Linked DNA regions of Drosophila melanogaster. The protein of the gene in region 2 interacts with the protein of the main gene of each other region in a pairwise test. Each region holds a gene or a part of one and is shown on either strand. Other genes may lie near its edges. The genes, in order: ACOX1 and CG1737.

The links.
Region 1: the proteins of CG1737 (region 2) and ACOX1 interact in a two-hybrid assay, tested with the Drosophila melanogaster proteins (one large-scale study listed by BioGRID).

Annotation. Positions count from the first base shown.
Region 1 is NT_033778.4:17,755,936-17,765,041, reverse strand, and holds ACOX1 (acyl-CoA oxidase 1), read right to left. Parts: upstream 4,103-9,106; 5' UTR 3,777-4,102; coding exon 3,653-3,776; intron 2,914-3,652; coding exon 2,754-2,913; intron 2,700-2,753; coding exon 2,407-2,699; intron 2,350-2,406; coding exon 2,054-2,349; intron 1,995-2,053; coding exon 1,378-1,994; intron 1,313-1,377; coding exon 1,207-1,312; intron 1,144-1,206; coding exon 991-1,143; intron 932-990; coding exon 671-931; 3' UTR 501-670; downstream 1-500. Other genes in the region: OstDelta (oligosaccharide transferase delta subunit), read left to right, coding at 1-361; HLH54F, read right to left, coding at 4,704-5,006, 6,606-6,955, 7,392-7,467; Sardh (sarcosine dehydrogenase), read left to right, coding at 8,664-9,106. UniProt on the Drosophila melanogaster protein: Catalyzes the desaturation of acyl-CoAs to 2-trans-enoyl-CoAs. First enzyme of the fatty acid beta-oxidation pathway.
Region 2 is NC_004354.4:11,347,272-11,357,997, reverse strand, and holds CG1737 (uncharacterized protein), read right to left. Parts: upstream 7,391-10,726; 5' UTR 7,155-7,390; exon of another isoform or gene 7,005-7,154; 5' UTR 6,721-7,004; intron 6,308-6,720; 5' UTR 6,295-6,307; coding exon 3,463-6,294; 3' UTR 2,459-3,462; downstream 1-2,458. Other genes in the region: dsh (dishevelled), read right to left, coding at 1-1,644; NdufV3 (NADH:ubiquinone oxidoreductase subunit V3), read right to left, coding at 7,573-7,902; CG1738 (uncharacterized protein), read right to left, coding at 8,278-8,826; CG11756 (uncharacterized protein), read right to left, coding at 9,182-9,793; GCS1 (glucosidase 1), read left to right, coding at 10,116-10,726.

The DNA.
Region 1 (9,106 bases), on a different chromosome or scaffold from region 2:
TAAGAACACTTCTGGTCCCCTGCCCGAAATCATCCATCAGTTCCGAGTGCCCGATAAGCGCCCGCCCCGCATTGTTTCTGATATCTTCACCGGACTGTGCATAACCCCGCTTGTGCTGCTTTTCGTTTTTTGGGGAAAACTGGGCATCAATGTATCTAACCTGACGCTGGCACCGAGTACGATCGGGTTTCATCTGGGTTTCGGTGGCATTCTGGTGCTGTTCTTCGTGTTCTGGCTGCAGCTTAACATGTTCCAGACACTGCGCCTGCTGATTCCCATCGCAGTATTCACATTCCTGGCTGGCAACCGATTACTGAGACGTCTTTACGCACAACGTAACTCGAAGGCAAGTGCGTCGTAAGTGCGTTCATCATTGTACGAAGTCAATAAGTGAGCTACTCTCTATCTTGCAACACCATCAGAAAACAAACTTTAATAAAGCGATTTAGTTAAGCCCAAACACACACTAAATACTGCCTTTAAATATAGTTGAATATTTTATTTGTGTATAATTTTACAGCCTAGTTTCAACTGCACAAGCCCTGACATCATAATTGTCTTAAAGACCATTTGCTAAGCAGACAGTTGTATAATACAAAAACAATGGAAACAAATGTATATTTACAATAATAACACTTGTGAAAATCTTCCAGAGCAATAGGATATGAATCTAGAGGTGAGCCTTCATGAATGGCTTCAAGTACTTGTGGAATGCTCCGTTGACTGGCTCCTTGTTCAACGGGTTCTTCTTCGTAGACTCGAAGATGTGTTCGTAAACATTTCCATCATAGGCACCCAATGCGGAATCTAGCACGCGATCGTGAAGATCAAAGCTGTCCACCAAGCTGACGGCATTCGGCCGGAATCGTTTTAAGCAGTTCTCCAGGCGAACCTCCAGTTTCGTGACATCTTGATCAGTGAGATCAATGAACTGTTGAAAGTTACATATAACATTAAATATTCTTAACTAATATCAATTTAAAATCGTACCCGCAAGAAGTCGCCAATGCGGTTGAGGCAGGCGTCTACCAGATACAGCTCCAGCACCACCTTTAGGACTTCAGCTAGTTCTGGGGACACCTCGCGCGACAAGGCCAAAAGCTCCGTATAGGCAGTCTGCGCTAGGAAGGCGCGTCCATGAAGCTACAAGTGGTACAAAATTATATAGGATACTGAGTGAATAACAGATATTTCATTACGACTTACATCTGCAGCTGCTGTTAGGAAGGTGCCACATAGATTAGCTGCCACCTCGGTACCATAACCTTGCTTGCGGCGCAGTTCAATCTGCTCATAGGCAATTCGGGTTTTGCTGATATAAAAATATGAATTTAAATACTTGGTACTTCTACCTTTTTTTCTTTAGTAAATACTTACTTGGCGGCAACGAATTGGAAAGCCTTGACAATAGACCTCAATGATCCGTCAAAGTTAACAAACTTGGTTTGGTTTATTGCATCACTGATGTACGAAACCGTTGGCACCAGCTTCTCTCCATTCAAGGCCTGCCCATAAACCTTCACCAAATAGCGAGCAGTCTGCAGCAGCATCACTGTGTTCTCGCCCTCATAGGTGCAAACGGCCGTGGTCATGCCGTATATCGTGGGGAAGTTGGAGCAGTCCATGTAGCCATGTCCGCCACATGACAGACGACACGTTTCCACGCCGGCGGCGGCATCGGCACTACAGATGGCCTTAAGGCAGCAGGACAATGCATGCATTTCGGGCAGGCGATCCAAGTTACCCTGCTCAATCTCGCCAGATATCACGTTGTACATATTCCAGATGCCATCACCCGTCGTTTTGAAAACGATGGCTTTAGCTATCTGGGGGAACAACTTCAACTGCTGCGTGGTATGGTCCATGATTTGGGGCTCCGGTTGATTGGGATCAATGGGACTCTGTCGGCGAACAGCTGAATACCTAGTGGCAATAGTGGATGCCTTTGCCAGGCTCTGAGCGGTATCACGGATAAGAGCACAACGCACAAACATCTTGAATGAAAAAATGGTTAAAATCTCTGTGAAGATATAGTGAATATGTGTAATAGTACCATAGTTCCGTAGGTAAGCACGCTATTCTTCGGCGCCACATATGTGCCATCGGGCAGCACTTGCTGGTTCTTCATCAGCATGTTGTTTAAAGGCACCCGTACGTTCTTCAGTCCCAAATAGCCATTGTTGACACCCTTCATGCCCAGCTTGGTACCAATATCTCCAATGTCGATGCCGGGCATGGGACGGTGAGTATCGGAATCCCTCAATTGGACAATAAAAGGAGCCAGACCACGGAACTCGCCCTTGGTGTAGAGTTGTGCCACCACAACCGCATGGTTAGCAGTGTGTCCCACTGCAAGTCCCAGATTTTATAACAATTTCAAAATATTAAGTGTTCAAGAAAACTCACATCCACCGGGCCACCACTTGTATGCACTGAGTGATGGAGTGTTTATAACAAACTCCTGGGTGCTGGCATCGTAGTCAGCCCTGGTCTCCAGACCGCGCAGGAAGGTTCCGTGTCCCAGTTCCGTTTGGGCATAGGTGCCAATGATTTCACAGTCCCAGGCCTTGCTCAGCCATTCCACCTGCTGATCCATCGTTCCCTGGCCCATGATGGTGGGCACGAACATCACGTAGTGCAGCGCAAGCGGATTGCCCTCCTTTAGAATAGCCGATCCCAAGGATCCACCAAGCAGAGCACTATAAGCACACAAATTACAACCTGAAGTACATTAAATATAAGGATTTCTTTACTTGTAAGTATCCACTCCATCCTCGCCATCAGCACGTAGCTTGCGGATCTTCTCTCCTATGATGCAGGCTTTGCGCAAGCTGTGCTCATAGAGCTCCTTGTGTGACAAATAGGAAATGGGCAAGTCGTCCTGAAGGGCTGGATCCTCCAAAAACAATTTCTCTGGAAAAATCATAAACGAAATTTAATGTAAATGAAGCCATAAGGAAAGGGATTTAATATTTTAGGAGGTGTCATTTAGATAAGCATTGTTGAATTTTGCAGCGTAATCATGAGTGGAAAGTATTCTTCGTTAATTCGCGGGAGTTACTGGGCATTGTCCATTTATGATGCCCTGAGCGACCGTGCAAATCTGTCAGATAAACCTATCAGCTAAACTAATTTCAAGTGGACCTGGAAATAGATGGTGGGTAGCTGCAAACATTCAAAGTACACAAGTAGTCGGATTGATCGCGATTCGCGCGAAGTTCAAAGATTAATAACTTATGAGCTGGCTAATAGGTGCTGATTAACTAGTAGCGGCTTGTTTATGCGGAATACATAATTAATGAACTTTGGGCCACGGCGTGCAGCAAAATCAACAAATCGCATGAATGAATGGACGGAGAAGAAGCGTATCAAAACAAAGAAGTTGACAGGATGTTTTGGATAATTTATCAGTGGCTGACATGGCTAGCATCAGAGTTTGTACCCTACAGATTAGCTATAAATGCGTTAAAGCCTAGCTTAATTGCCAAGTCATGCTTTTGGCACAATTTCTTGCATCCACTGTTGGGAAACGCGATTGCGCCAAGCTCAGATAAAGCTCTGAGCGACCGGTTAATGTGAATGTACATGTAGGTCTGTCGGGGTCACCGGAGAAGCTTGAAATCCGGTGTTTTTCCCTTCTAAGCTAACTCACCCAGGGCCTTCTTCTCCTTGAATCGCTCCTCGCCGCCGGCCCACAGAACGGAGAACTCCCGGGGATTGAAGGTGGCCGTGCTGCGTTCCTTCTGGAGATCGGGATTCACTGGTTTGGCTGGCATTTTGCTATGCGGCACAGTATTCAAGTCACGTAAACAGGTTATGGATTAACGAGCCACCGCAAAGCGTCCGTCTTCGTTGAATATCGCGTACTGACTGATTGTTGCTGGAAAGGCGAATTGCGCTCAGTGGTCAGTCAGTCGGTCACTCAAGTGCTGGTGGAGGAAATCCAGTGGAGGAGATTGAGATTATGGACTGCTGATCTGATCCAGCTATTCCGAATCTAATCATCGATGCCAGCTCTCGAACGACGTGAACTTTAACCGCGAAAATACACATGTAATAAGTTCGCTTTTGTGTTGAAATAGTCTGTAGCACAACCATTATTCTCACGCCATTGTTGTTGGGCTACATTTATGAGTAAATACACAAAATAAATACACTGCATGTAAAAAGTACTTGGGCGTTTTCTTTCAGTTTGTTTCTAATTTAAATAAGATTGCTTTCATAAGCTTCTTTGTTCGTATAATTTGTTTGCAAGTGAATAATGCAAATTCACTACATCTTTCTGCATAAATAACATCTTTAAAATGTCTCAAATTAGCCGTTTTAAAAAAAGTAGGGTATTTGAATTCCGCCTTAATTAATAGATTAATTTTGTTTTTAGCAGCTCTTTGTTTGTATTGTGACGAAATCAGCTGTTGAACAGGGCTGCAAAATACAAACAAGTACGGCAGCACTCGACAACTCCAGGGATACAGTCACCATAATCTTGGCGCCAATTCAAAAAAATTCAAAAATTCCAATTTTATTAAAAACATAGATATATTTGCTAGCTAAATGATCATGAGGTAACACCAATCTTTGGCCTTATAGCATAGGTTCAGGCTTGCACATACGGAAACACGTAAAATTAAATCACGATTTAATACACTTACTAGGTGGTAAATTCATTTGGCTTAGGTCAGAACATTATTTATAATATCCGCTTAAATGCCATGGGCATGGCTAGTGGCTATAGCTATGCCCCGCTGATGCTGCCCCATTCCAGAGTCATAGGAACAGCTGGCCGCTGGCTCCATTTGATGCACTTCCGCCGGATACCAGTGACTGTGAGATTCCGGCAACTGATGGTAACTTAGATCCGCCGAAACATGGGTTTCGCCTCGCGTAGTCTTCGGATAAGATTGCGTATGCAGGGTTTGCCAATCCATACGGGCGGATGAGGTGGTTGATGATGATGGGGCAAATGCCAAACTCCGGCTACTCTGGTGGAACTCAAAGGGCCAGCTCTGCAAGACAGTATAATGTGGAATGTGTGGATAAAACAGGCATAAATCATAGGAGTTGTGGAAACCGCAGGGGCTATATATGGAACAATATGACGACAACCCATCCCGAGACAGCGCCATTGTTTGTTTACGCAACTTTGATTGTTTTTAGTGCCCACCCCCGCCTCCACGTCTAGATCTACAATAACAGCCTCATTAACGGATCTATAAAAACATAAACAGCCAAACACTTGCGGACAAGAGACACTCATTTGTATGCCATACAATGAGGGATTGGAAATGGGATATAGGGATGCTAGGGCTAGCGAGCAAATAGCGAACCAATGGGTTGTTCCCAACAGATCATCTTGGGCGCGTGGATGGTATAAATTCGGATAGGGTCGGGACTCTCCGATCCGATCTGATTTGCCACCATATGGGCACAAGACGGAGCCGTATTTGCTGAATTTTTCACGCATTCGGTGTGTAAACAATTGCATCTATTTAGATAAGTTGTGCACGCCATGAATCTTGAGTGATAGATTGTGTAAACTCCAGCGGGAATGGCTGATGGATAAACACGGTTAGACAAATTTTAATTACAATAATCCGAGTGGGAAAACTACTGAGGATGACACTTTCCCTCGCATGTCATTCACTGTGTCGCTTCAAAGCATCAAGAGCATCTTTAAAAATAAAAAATAAAAGCAAAGACTAACTAGTGCCCCCCATCCAGATCCGCAGGTCTGCGTTACCATCTCCGTTCCCTGCCCGCTCCACCAACAGCCTGTCACTCATATTTAATATTTTCGAAATTCACAAAAGTATCGGATTACAGGAAAGCAAGGCAGTCTGAAATCACAAAATGTGATTTCGGTGTTCTAGTGGGGGGCCCGGCTGAATGGCTGACTCCGGTCATGGGATGTGGATGTGGTTACGTTTGTGGTTCACCTCCACATCTAGAAAAGGTGGAAATACTTGTCGCCGCATCGCGTCCGCATCACCAAGCAGATGTTGCACCACATTCCTTTGGATTTTTGATCTATATTTCGCTAAAATTGCGTTGAATTACCCCTATAAGTTGAGTAGTATTACTAAATACTTAAGTTGCTTGTTAAAAAAAAAATGAGAATAATAGATTGCGTATACGTTTAAATTGTAATAGTATCAATTTTTTAAATTTTAAACACTGAAGCCTGGGTTTCCGTGTAACTTTCCACGATCTCTAAGTTAAAATTCTACGAAAGGCTAATTTCAACTAGCAAAATTTACAAATATCTACCTACTTTATTTCCTTAATGGCTTTTCAAAGAAAACGCATAAAAGAAAAATTTTCATTCCCAATACCAAACTTTCCATAAAAAGACATAAACTTATGGGAATCCCGATCGGCTGAACATTACTTCTCAATTAGACTGAAATCCATGAATAAACATTGATCTTGGGCATATCACTGGGCATCCCCTGCGACACCTGTCATTAACTGACGAGATCCACCTGAAGTGGCCGGCTCATTAATGCGTTCCCGTTCCCCCGAGCCGCGGGTGCAGTGCATCGTTAAGTGGTGGCAGTGACATCACTTATATTCGGGCAGGGGGATCGCAATTGCATGACACTTACCATGCCGTGTCCGTTGTTGTGGAAATTATAATTGCCTCCACCGGACGAATCTGCCATGTGACTTGTGTCCAGGCCTTCGGAACTGGTGGTACTCGAGTGACTGTGGTTGAGGCTGTGGTGCTGGTTGTGGTTGTGCGGGTGGTTCTGCGAGTGGCTGCCTGTCTCCACAGCCGTAATTAGCTGCTTGATGTAGAGCGTGGCCAAACGCAACGTGTCCAACTTGGAGAGCTTCGTGTCCGGCGGAATGTTGGGCAGCTTGGTCTTCAAACGTCCGTAGGCGCTGGATAAAACCCGCATACGCATCCGCTCCCGGGCATTTGCCGCATTTCGCTGCACCGGCGGTTGGGAGCCTGGAAAATCAGAAATGTAGATACATCTTAAGGAGCTCCAATAACAAGAGATTAATTAGAAACAAAAGGTTTTATTGGTATCCACAAAAGTTTTAAGTTACATTATAGATATCTTCGCAAAGTATGAAGTTCAAAAAGCATATGGAGTATGAATTTTAAACTCAATTTATATCTATTGTGCTTTCTGTTATTATAATTTTTATCATTATTATTATATTTTCATTTAGAGCTTAACGCATTTTAAATTAACATTCCTTTTAAGGTAAATTCTAAAGTTCGATTTAAAAAATTCTAAGGAAATTGAATTTTACTTTAAAGTAAATAATAAATTTACAAAACTAGCTAAACATATTTACATTGTCAACGTTTTTAAGCGTTTATAATACATCTTTTTAATATAAGTACAAAATCACCTATAAATTGAAATCGAACTCACTTTGAGAACTGGCATCCTCATCGAAGTCGTCATCAAAGAACTCCGTGGGGCTGGAACTGCGCTTCTTGCGTGGCATTGTTCAAAAACAAGTTGGTGGTATCACAAGAATCACTTCGAATATTTTCAAATTGGATATAAAATTCCAATCACTCAGTTTTCTCACTTAAAATCGAAACGCACCGAACCGAAACCAATCTGTGAGTCGAATACGTCCGATCTGCGTGGCACGTAGAGCACTTCTGTCACGGGTTACGGGGAGATCCTCCTTTTTGAGCATTCTGCTCCGCAGTTTGCAGCTCTCCAGATTCCGTCTATTTCTGGCACCTCTGGTGGGCGTGCCTGCTCCGCAAACAGTCCCAATTGGCGGAGGAATCCGGACACATGGTGCGATCGGCGGTCTCTTTCTCGGTTGTTTGCCTTCTGGCTGCCACCACATTGGCCACACAGTGTTCCTCCGTCGGTCTGCGGGAAAATTCAAAATGAAACGCTCGGTTTATCCGGTTCACTACGGGCGTTGGAGTGGGGATGTTGTGCCGTAAGGATGTGCGACGGGCGAGTGCGAAGCGTGCCAAGACTCCGGCTCCAGATGGCACCACCTGGTATTCGATCTCGCAGTGCATTTGGAGATAGGCATTAATGGCAGATCGGAAGAGATTATAATCCTGGGGTTCAACTGCGTATCCTGTTTGGGGTCGCCGCGATGGTTGGCATTTGAGTATGGGTCCAAAATTTCATTGCTTATGTGGGGAGTTTTAAGTTCCGAGAACGATTTTGACTTTTCAAATTTTCTGCGGGAAATGAAAATACTCGAAAATATATGTACATATATGTAGGCAACACTTTGTTTAATCTATAGAATTTACGTTTTCTTTAAGTGCTTTTAAAAGAAAAGCAAGAGTTTAATAAATCTATTTATATGAATGGATTAATTGAAACCACAACATATTAGCAAGAAGCATCTGTTAAACCGCATCTTTATTGAAACTAAAAATTTGCTCAGATTAAATTGTTTTTTGACCTACGTAGCTGCTAACTAATTTTACTACTTGCCACGCCTCCGAACCCAGATAAGAAACGTGCTGTGACCCTAAAACGTGGCCTTGATTAGGGCCTCCAGTCATGGATGGAACGTCACTGGCACAGCAGGTTTATCAGGATGCTGAACCATGGGTTATCCGATCAATTCAGCGGGAGATTATTATGGCGGTATTGTGTTTTTAACTCGAGAATTCAGTTGAGATTCTAAAGTCGTCGCGCTCGGCCGTTTTTGAGATGTGGCGCCATCGCATCCTGCAGCAAGCTTCGCGCCGTGGAATCAGCAAACAAGTGAGGGAAGATGGAGGAGCTCGAAGGGAACCAAGTGGATTCCTGCCAGGCGCAGCAGATGTTGTGGTTATTGGCGGTGGTTCGGCGGGCTGTCACACACTGTATCACCTGGCACGACGTGGTGTCAAGGCCGTGCTCCTGGAACGCGCCCAACTTACGGCCGGAACCACCTGGCACACGGCTGGATTGCTGTGGCGCCTGCGTCCCAACGATGTGGATATTCAGCTGCTGGCTAATTCACGTCGCATGCTGCAGCAATTGGAGGAGGAAACGGAGCTGGATCCGGGATGGATTCAAAATGGTGGCATCTTCATTGCTCACAATGAAACGCGACTGGACGAGTATCGCAGACTGGCCACTGTGGGCTCAGCTTTGGGTATTGAAAACCA
Region 2 (10,726 bases):
TCGCTCGGCGATGCCGTACTGGATCGGCTGATAGCCGTGACTTGGATTGTACGTGGCCGAATATGGCATATAAATGGGCGGGTTCGGTAGCGGCCCGATGTCGCTGGTGATGCTCTCGGTGTCCGCATGGCTAAGCGCATGGCCGCCATGCCCGTGCGGCAGCTGGTGCGGATGCAGATGTCCTCGGCCCAACAGATTGGGATTGCGCTCCTCGTTCACCACGTAGTAGCACTGCTCCGAGAAGGTCAACTTATTGACCGTATGCTTGATGTAATTGCTGCGCAGCATCGCCGAGACGATCCTTCGCGCCTCCCGCCTATCCTGAACATCCTCCACATTCTCCAGCACCCAATTGACCGCATCGGCGCCGATAAATGCATTGGGAATCGTTATCTTTAGCCACATGCGATCCCTGATCTCCAGGCCGCTGTCCGGCTTCGTCATCGCCTTAACGATCTCCTCGAGGTTATTCTGGTCCAGACGCTCCTTAATCGGCTCCGCAATGTCGGCAATAATACTGTCGTGCGATGTGAGGGCCTGAGTGTGCGCCACCCAAGCACCGGGATCGATGGGTCGCACCGGCTCCGTGCGCGGAATGGTGAAGTAGCCCTTGGGATTTGGGTCCCAGCACTTGGCCACCACCAGCTTGATGGGTCCCGGCTTCTGAACGACTTCTCTCAGCACACGTACCGCCTCGTCGTTGGTCATGTTCTCGAAGTTGACATCGTTCACTTGGAGGATCATGTCGCCCGGTTCGATGCGTCCATCGAGTGCCACTGCGCCGCCTTTCATGATGCTGCCCACGTAGATGCCGCCGTCGCCGCCGCGATTCGATTGCCCGACAATGGATATGCCCAGAAAGTTGACCGCCTCCATGTTGATGGAGACGGTAATGATATTTAGGGACATGGTCGAGTCGGTTATGGAGCTGTACGAGGAGGTGCGCGACATGCTGGGCGCCCGTTTTTTGCGCCTCTGCGGCTTCTTGCGCACCTGCAATCGCTGAACGCTGCTATAGTCGGTCATGTCGCGGTCCAGCGTCAATTCGGATTCGGTGCCAAAGAGACTGGTCGAGTCCAGATCGCTGGAGAGCACGGATGCCGATTGATATGTGAGCGGTGGCGGCTGCAGCAGCGGATTGCCCATCATCTTCTGGTGATGGAGCACCTGCTGCTGTTGCTGCTGCGCCAGCTGGACAGGCTGCACCTGCTGCTGCTGTTGTTGTTGCTGTTGCTGGTGCTGCTGCTGCTGTTGTTGTTGCTGCTGCTGATGCTGCTGCTGTTGCTGCTGTAGCTTCCTGTTGGTCAGACCCATGCCCAATTCACACTCACTGGTTGGCAGCTCGGAGCAGTTATCTGACTGATTGGTACCATCGGCGGAGACCAGCCAGGACACCACTCGCCCATTGAAGCAGGGCAGTATGGTGGAGTCGTCGGCTATTTCCTCTTTGACCACACCGAAATCGGCGTCCATTGACTTGAAGAAGTACTTGTAGTTGTTGTTCTGCTTGTTCAGCACCAGCTTGAAATCGCGCAGCGTCACCTGGGCGGATGGAATGGGGATCTTCACCAGATACGGCGTCGTCTCATCGTCGATGTGGTATATCACCTTCGTCTCCTGCCCGCCGCCCCTGTCCGCGTCCATTTTAGCTGCGCCGACTGCGGAAATCCACGGGAAAACTCCTCGACGCGATAAAACGCGATCAAAACGAAATGCGATGGATGCGGTGGGGAGGTGGCGTGGGAAGTTGGTGGGGAAAAATCACAGGGAAAACGGGATTAAGCCAGGGAAAAGCCGATACAACAAACAAAATTCACTCGATTTTGCTTTTCTCCCCCTGGTCGCTCTAGCCCTCTCGCTCTCGCACGCGTTTCTTTTACTTTTTCTTTCTCTTTTTTTTGGGCTGGGTATTTCGATTCAATGGAAGCGGCGGCTGTTAATTCGTCGATTTGCACGGCGTTGATATTGCTCCATTAGCACGATTTGGTGCGCTTTAATGTCGGTGCACGCAGCGGGGGCAGGGCGAAACGAGCATATTGCTAGTTTATCAATAAATTTGTTAGAATTTTGAGACTAAAAAAAAACAGTGTGTTAGCCGCTCGTCACGCACGGAATGCCAAAGCGCCGGGCAGTTGGTCACACTGCCGGCGATGCCAGACCCTTTCGAATTCGAACATTCTTAACATTTTCTCAAACGAATATTCTGAAAAAGCGTATGGAAAACTACTAAAAACTGCAATGTATTTAGTTTCTATTGGAAATGCTCTCTCTAACGATATTTGCTTTACAATTTGAATGTAGTTCAAACACTTTTAAAATTAAATACCAAAGTTATCGATAAATATCGTTTAATTTGAATACTTATTCAAAACAATAAATTTATTATAATTTAACAAAATAGCAATTTCTATTACATAAAACATGTAGAATCTAAAACTACAGCTATATTGAACTCTTAATTGTATTAATTTACCATATAATGATGTAGCATAGTTGAAGAGTGTCCTGTTTAAAAGTAGAGTCTTTATCCTTGTCATGGAAACTTGACCAAGGAAACTCATCCATCCATCCACTTGAAGCCTGCGTTCCTTATCTTCTTTCGCTTTTCACACGAAAATCTCTAGCGTTGGCCGCAGTTTATTTATAGCTGCCCGATTTCCAGATAACCCCGCCCGCCATTTATCACGCAATGGCGCTCGTTATTTAAATCAGTTTTCTCTTTTATTTGTATGCTTTGAATTGGGATCACTTAGATATACACTCGACTAACTTACTGGCTAGTCCTCCACGCGGGCGTAGGCACATGTACGCCCGGTTTTATATTATTGAATCGACTACGATAATAGCAATTTAAAAAAAAAGGATTTCGAAGGGGGCGGGACTCGCGGGGAAGGCGGAGGGGGGCTATGTATTCCAACGCATTTAAAATAAAAATCATTATTGATATACCTCGACCGCCCGGAACTTCGCAATCCCTTCGAGAGTTGGGCGAGCATTTTACAATTAATTGTTTTCTTTAGTTTAGTTTATATTACATAGATACATCTGCCGTTTGTATTTATGTATGTCCGTCCGCTGTTTATAATATACGAGATATATATATATAAAAATTTATATAAATATATATATATATATATTCATATATATAAATATATAATTATATATACGTGTATATATATTAATATATATTTATATACATACATATATATATATACATATAAATATATATAAATTTACGCTACACTAGCTATTACAACTAAGTTAATGGTTTTACAAAAAAAAACTTGTATCTGTTTTATTACAACTACAGCATAAAACGAATTATCGAGTGTCCGCTTTGTTTGTTTGTGTATGTGTATGGGGGAGGGGGATGGGGATGGGGAGGGGAGTGCTGTGTGTGAATTATTTTTTACAATGTGATACGTGCTCTTCCTGTGGCCACCATGGACCAGGCCTCCACGCTCACTTAGCGTTGACCAGCTCGACAATGTTGCTGCTGATCGAGAGGCGATCGACGATATCCAGCAGGATCTCCACATCCTTGATGGTGGCAACCGTCTCGGGGGCACCCAACAGATTCACATGCTTGCCATCGATGTTCGCATAGAAGCATTTGTTCTTGAAGATGACGGCCCGATCGTAGGGCACGCGGCACGTGTTCTTGTCAACGACAACGCGCCGGAAGAGCACGCACGACGGCTGATACTTGTGACGGTCCTCCTCGGGTATGTTGTACGCCTTGAGATCGCCCGTAAAGATGGTCATTGTCTGGCGGGGCATCATCGACGGCGAGACCTTGTACAGCGTCACCTTGCTGGTCCATTTGCCCGATGGCACCTTTATCCGTGACGCCACATTGGCCAGCTTGACCAGCGCCAGCTCCAGGCAGGTGCGCTGCTGGCGCGCCATCTTCGACAACATATCCTTGGCCGTGCTAACCACATGCCACGTCTCATAGCAGGTGATCTTCTTTACCACACGACCATCCTCCTCGTGAAACGTTGTGGTCTCGGGCGGAAAATATTTGGGACTGTTGGCATCGTCGATGCCACCGCCGGTGGGCAATATTTCGCGCAGCGTTGTCAGCTCCTTGTCGCGCTGCTGCTCCTGCTGGTTCTCCTTGCTGCGACGCTGCGGAACCAGGCTCGGCTTCTTGAACACCGGCTGGACATCGTTATCGGCCAGCAGATTGCTCAGCCTCCGGTCCGCAATCAGCGCATTCACCGACGACGCTGTCGTGGACAGCACATTGCGCCGATTGTTGTTCAACTTGTTAACCGCTACCGCTGCTGGAGCGGACGTCATCGCCGCCGACGCCGCCACCGACGTCGTTGTCGTCACCTGCTTGGACTTGGCATTGGCATTGACATTGGCATTCTTACGGGTAACAATAGATACCGGTATATTATCGATATCAAAATCGAGATCTGGATCCGGATCGTCCTCTTCGGTGTCGACGTCCGTGGGACAGAGCTCCTTGCCCATGCTCATCAGCGGTTTCATCGACTGCGTCTTCTTGCCCATTTCCGCGTTGAGTATCCTGGGCCGGGGCTTCGGCAGTTGACTCTGGATATGCACTGGTCCCATTTTGGTATTGACACTACTGTTGCTGGCCAAGATCTTGATGCGCTTGGCTGGATTCCCCGCCGTCGTATTGTTGTGGTTAACAGCAGCGGACAGGGATTTCTGCGTGCTGTTAACAGTGATGGATTTCTTATCGCCGGCAACCGAATTGCCGGTTCCGATATTCTTGGTACGGGGCCTGCCCAAAGCGACCTTTTTGATTGAATTACCGCCAGCTGCGGAAGCGGCCATAGCAGTGTGTGATCTGGAAATGAGCACATCGTCCTGATTGATAATGTCATCGATGTTTACAATGGTGAATGTGGGCATATCCTCCGATTCGGAATCGTTTTTCCCATCATTGCTAGCGTCACCCTTGCCGCCGCCACCACCACCGCCAGTTGAGCGCGTTGCGGGCGTGGATCTAATCGAATTCGAATTGGAGTTCGACAATGAGTTTATCTTGTTACTGCTGCCGCGTCGCTGTGGCAGCATCCTGGCTGACGCACTGCCCGCCTGGCCCACCTTCGGTCGCGCCGTGATCGCTCTCTGCGCGCTCATCTTGCTGTTGGCACCATTCACCACAGGCGGTCCGCTGCGCTGCTGGGAGCCGCCCGAAATGATTATGCGCTTGCGTGGCACAGGACTCTCGCTTTCGCTAGTGTCCATTTTGCGTTTGGCCGCGGCGGACGCAGTGCCCTTGCCCGTGCTCGATCCGTCTGTCATGCTGGCATTGCTTTTGGCCATATTCGTGGCCATTGTGCGACGCATCTGCTGCAGGCTAGTGGACGCCGTGCGGCCGCTGCTCGAATTTATGGATATCTTGGATGTGGCGCCGCTGCTGGAAGTCAGATTGCCAGCGCTGGTCGCGCTGGCATTGGCATTGACATTTTTCGCCTTCGGTGGACGTCCACGTCCACGCTTGACGGGCGGCTGTTTGCGTCGCAGCTCCTGCTCGTACTCGGCCTCGCTTATATCGTCGTCGTCGTCATCGTCGGACTTGTGCAGTTGCGGATTGAAGGCGGCGTCCGCCACTTCGTCATCATCGTCCTCTTCGAATTCCAGCATATCGCTGATTTCATCTCGCGGCAGGCGGACCAAGCGTCTGTCGTTCGTGCCGATGGACTGGCCACCGCCATCGGCCAGGGCGGCCAAGTACTTTGGCGTCACTATATCCTCGCTGACATACTTTGGATTCGGTTTGATCGATCGGCGCGAACGACTGGCCGCAATGGTGGGCGGCGGACTCGTCGATACGCGCTTGCTGGACACCACCTTGAACATCTTCGGCGTCTCCGCTTGAACGGATCGCCGTCGCTGTGGCTTGTCCAGACCCAACTTGTGAGGACTAATGGACAGGGGATGATTGCTGCCTCCCAGCAGCAAATTGCCGCGTCGTTTGGCCAGATTGCTGGATGGCTGCTCCTTGACGGCCGACTCCCTGCTGAGCTTGGAACGCGCCGATGGCGACGATGGTGATGGCGATAACGCTGCTGGCTTCACAGCGTGCCTGGTGCGCGGAGTGGGCTTCTCCTGGACGACGGATTGACGTCTTGTGGTGCGGGTCCCACGCAGCTCCTGCTGCACCTCCCGTTGGTTATCTCTCCCTTTCAGTTTGCCGGCTGGCGTGTCTTTACGCGAAGACGACTCGTCGTACAGATTCCTCACGTAGACGATGCAATTACGTGTCTTCTTAACGCTTTCAGCTGCCTCTTTTTTTCCAGCCCGCATCTTTCATGGGTAGCTGGAATCGTGGGCAAGAGGCGGAATGGATTATTAGTTACATTGTGACCATATAGGATGAGTACAGTGGGTTGTGGCTAGCGGGATCGTGTTATTCACCCATTTGCAATTAGTAGTATTTTTCAAATATCGCATTGAAATTGGAAATCCAAGCAAGCAGCTTTATTACAGAGTAACAACATTGCACACGTATCGCGTAGCCAGGGCCCACTGTATTCCACTGATATGTGTGTAATGTGCAGCTAGCTGCTCTGGCAACTCTAGCGCCTATTTTCGTCACTTTTTCGCGCGCCAGTCGTTGCACACACATATGCACACGCAGGCACACACATAGAGCTACATGCACACAAACACACAAACACGTAGGAATATGGAGCGATGAGAATATCGTTTGATTGAAATTCAGCAACTTACCTTCGAAAATCGCTTAACATTTTCTCGGGCGTTAAGCTTGCCTTCAATTTAATCGCACTTTTCGCTGGCACTTTCACAAGCCCGCGCTCTCTCTTTTGCTTATTGTTCTCTCGCTGCAACTCTGCTGCTGCTGCTGCTGCGGATGGTCACTCTTAATTGGCAACTGTTTTTTATATTTTCTTCCTTTTTGGGCTTTGGGCAAGAGATTGCCTATTGCTATTTAGAATGTTTTCAAAACGCCAGAATGCACAACACAATAACAACAACCGAACTGAACAACTGAGCTGCTGCACAGAAAGCAGAACAGCAAAAGTGGTGGCAATAGTGGCGGAACAAGAAAAAAAATTATAAATGCGAGCGAACGAGAAAGAGAGAGAGGAGCAGCGCAACCAGGTGGCAACTCGCTCTGGCGATGATTTTCTACCCAACTGTACCACACACACACATGCACAGCGACCCTGTGTGTTTTTGCTTTTCTCGAGGGCTTTTTTCGGCGTTTTGCTGGCGAAATTCCACGCGATCGGCGACACAAATCGTTTGGCTCGACTGTAACTGCAACAGCTGAATGTGCGCACCAATTTGTATTTGCTTTCTGACACGATTAACACGATTATGATTGGCGCGCTCGAAATGGTTCGCTGTCGATGGAAAAATGGAACTGGAAAGAGAGGGGAGGATTGCTGTAATACGGTGTTGTATAGCGTCCGTCGGTCGGTCGGCCAGTGCTGCAGAATGTCTGCCAGCCCAACTGCCCCATCGGCCACAGACACCGATTAACACTGATTTTTCTAATTCTCAACTGTCCTCTTTAAATGGCATTTATTTTATTTAACATCAACAATTGGGCTACATCTACTTGAGGGCCGAGGGCTGTGGGCAGCGGTACTTGGCCATTTCCACCTCCGCCTCGGCGTAGCTAAAGCGATTGAAGCTGTAGTATTCAGGCACCTTGTAGCCACCGGTGGCGGAGGCACCTGGTCCAACGGGTCCGCTGCTGGGCTTCACGCAATTGCTGGTCAGTCCCACAACCGATGGCGAGGATGCGCCGCCCGATGGCGAGGATCCGGCTCCAGCTGGAGATCCTGAGGCGCTGGGTCTACCGCCGCCGGAAACGGGTCCGCCCTTGATCTGGCTGTAGCAGCGGCTGAGGGCTGGGCGCAGGGCACGTGAGGGCGAGAACATGTTGGACTTAATGGCTGGCTAGCTTGCAGCGTTTAATTCGCAAAAATAATTCACGTAATCACGTATCAACAAAGTGGACGTGTTGGGTAACGCGGAAAGTGCGCTTATTGGCGAGGAATATGGCAAGGCAACGTACGAGCGCGAAGCTGCCACCTGGCCGCAAAAATATGCATAAAATAAAAGTGGTCATATTTTAAATTGGTTTAAATGTTTAAATTATTATTTACACAGTTAAAGATGCTGGCAGTGCTGGTATAGTTATATATTATATAATTTAAGCCTGACGTTAGGGCTAGAATAGATAAATTGATTTTTAAACAGTGCCATCCTTTGACTAAGCTAGTTTTAGTATTTAACTAAGAGCTATATAAACAACTATTTTCTCGTCTTAAACTTGGGCTGCGCCTTGCCGTAGTGCTGATCGATGTGTGAAACGGGCGCGCGCCTCTTGTCGTTGCGCTCCTTTTGCGATTTTGTTCGGCATTTGACGCTGGCGGCGCCCGTTTGATTTTTGCCCAACTGATGGAACTTCTTGCGCTCCTCGCGAATATTCTTCAGCCGCTGGCGTTCGTCCTTCAGCTCCTTGTAGTTTTTGGAGGCCTTCTTCAGCGGCTTGGCGCCCAGCTTGATCAGCTGAAACATTTCCATTTTGCTCTTGTTTTTGATCACACGCTGGTTTTTGATCGCAAAATTGAGCACCTCGTGGCGCGCCTTCTTGATATCGAATTCGGGATTCAGTTCCATGCCGCCCTCCTTGGTTTTGTGCGATTTTTGGACGCCGTCGTCCTGCTTTTTTGTTCCACTTTTCGATTGGAAGTGCGATTCGTGGAAGACGTGTGCCTGAAATTCGGTGTTCTCCTGCTTCTTTTGCAGCGCCAACGCTGCACGCGTGGGCACCGGCTTAAAATCGGCGCTGACGTTCATTATGCTTTCAGTTTTCTGTGTTTATTTGCAGCAATAATAGTGAAATCAAAATATTGAATGCACATGTACAGTGCCAAAATGTACTAATTCCCACGTAACGCCTCGGTCCATCTGGCAGCGCCGTTTTTCATGAATGTTGCTTGTAAGGTGGCGCTTTTTAATGTCCTTATTACGTCACAAAATCTTTTTATTTCAAAATATGTTTCAGAAAAACTGCTCAGCTTGCAGTCTATTGCTATTTATTAAGTATACAATTTCTTTACATTAATTTGTAAAATTTCGTACTTATTAAAAGCATAATAAGATCTTATTGAATGGTCAACTATTATAATATTTAAAATAAATTTTTTGTATATTAAAAGACATTGATTTTACTCATTTTGCTTTTGCTTTCCGAGTCCGAATCCTCCGACCAAAAATCATCTGGCAAACAAATCGCTTTCCAGCCCATTGCGTCCGCATCGTCAGAGATGGAATTCTGCTCATCCAGCTGGTTGAAGGGACTGGCATTCAAAGGACCCGACCAACTCGCGACGCGACTAACTGGCGGTGGAATAAGGCAATCGGAATTCTCCTTCCGATACGTTCGAGCCTTCAGTTTGTTTACTGCGTTGGGCAATTGCGGTACAGGCACCTCCTCCTCGTCGTCGTCGGGCGATGAAGTGGAATTGGGCACATTTACGATGTAGCTAATGGGATCCAGGCGGATCCCTATGGTTTTCTGGGAGGATCGGCTGTGTGGTCGCGTCAGATGTGGATTGCCCTCTCGACGTCGCCGTGCGTTTCTATTTTCCGTCTTGAGCCTCCCGTTTGCCGACCTGCCGCCATTGATGACGCTCCTCGTGGATATATTCACCGGGGGCGACTTTCGCCTGGCGGCCAGCTTCTTCGGATGCGGAATCCTGTAGCGACCATTCGCGTAGTCATTGCGCGGACTGACGAAAATTCCAGCCAAATATTTAAGCATTTTCCAAGAAAGTTTACTAAGAATTTAAAATAATTGCAAGCGACGCATAAGCTCCGATTTTATTTCTGACGATCGAGAAATGTGACGGAAAAATGATTTGTTACAAAATTTGGAGAAGAAATTTTGGAAATGATTAATTTTATGGTTTTCAAATATAGCATAGTATAGCTAGGACACAAACCCTTGTAATTCCGCATAGAAAATAGTTGGGATGATCCGGCAACGCAGTGCGGATCGAAATAAAAAAGAAAACAATGCGCTCGCAAGAAAATTGAAGCAACAACAAATAGCCGATAAATCAGAGCCAAGGGACAAGCGCAAAATGGCTAGGAACACGGGCAGCTCCTCGGGCTCCACGCCCGCTGCATCCTCATCCGGATCGAGCGCAGCAGCAGCAGCGGCGGCGGCAGCGGCAGCAGCAGCGGCATCCAATGCCAAACAGAAGCAGCGCAGCCCGCGTTTCAGTTTATCCTCGAATTTGATCCTGGACAAATGGAAAACGATGATTGGTTGCGTTTGCCTGGCGATAGCCTCGTACTTCGGCTATCTGGGCTACCTGGAGACGCGCGTTAACACGCCCTTCGATCACCAGAAGATGGTGGTGCATGCCGGCCTGGAGCAACCGGATCGCTACTGGGGCTCCTACCGTCCGTTGACGTACTTCGGCATGAAGACCAGGGATCCGCACTCGCTGGTCATGGGCCTGATGTGGTATACGCCCAGTAATCTGGGCCCCGGTGGCCAGGGCATTCGACACTGGTGCGAGCAGGGCGATAAACTGGACTCGTACGGCTGGACGCATCACGATGGCCGCAGTTTTGGCGTTCAAGAGATCCAGGATCTGCCCTTCGAGCTGAAGACCTCGTTCGTTAAGTATCCAGAGGGCAAGCAGTACGGCGGCGATTGGACTGCCAGGATATCGGTGAGGAATAC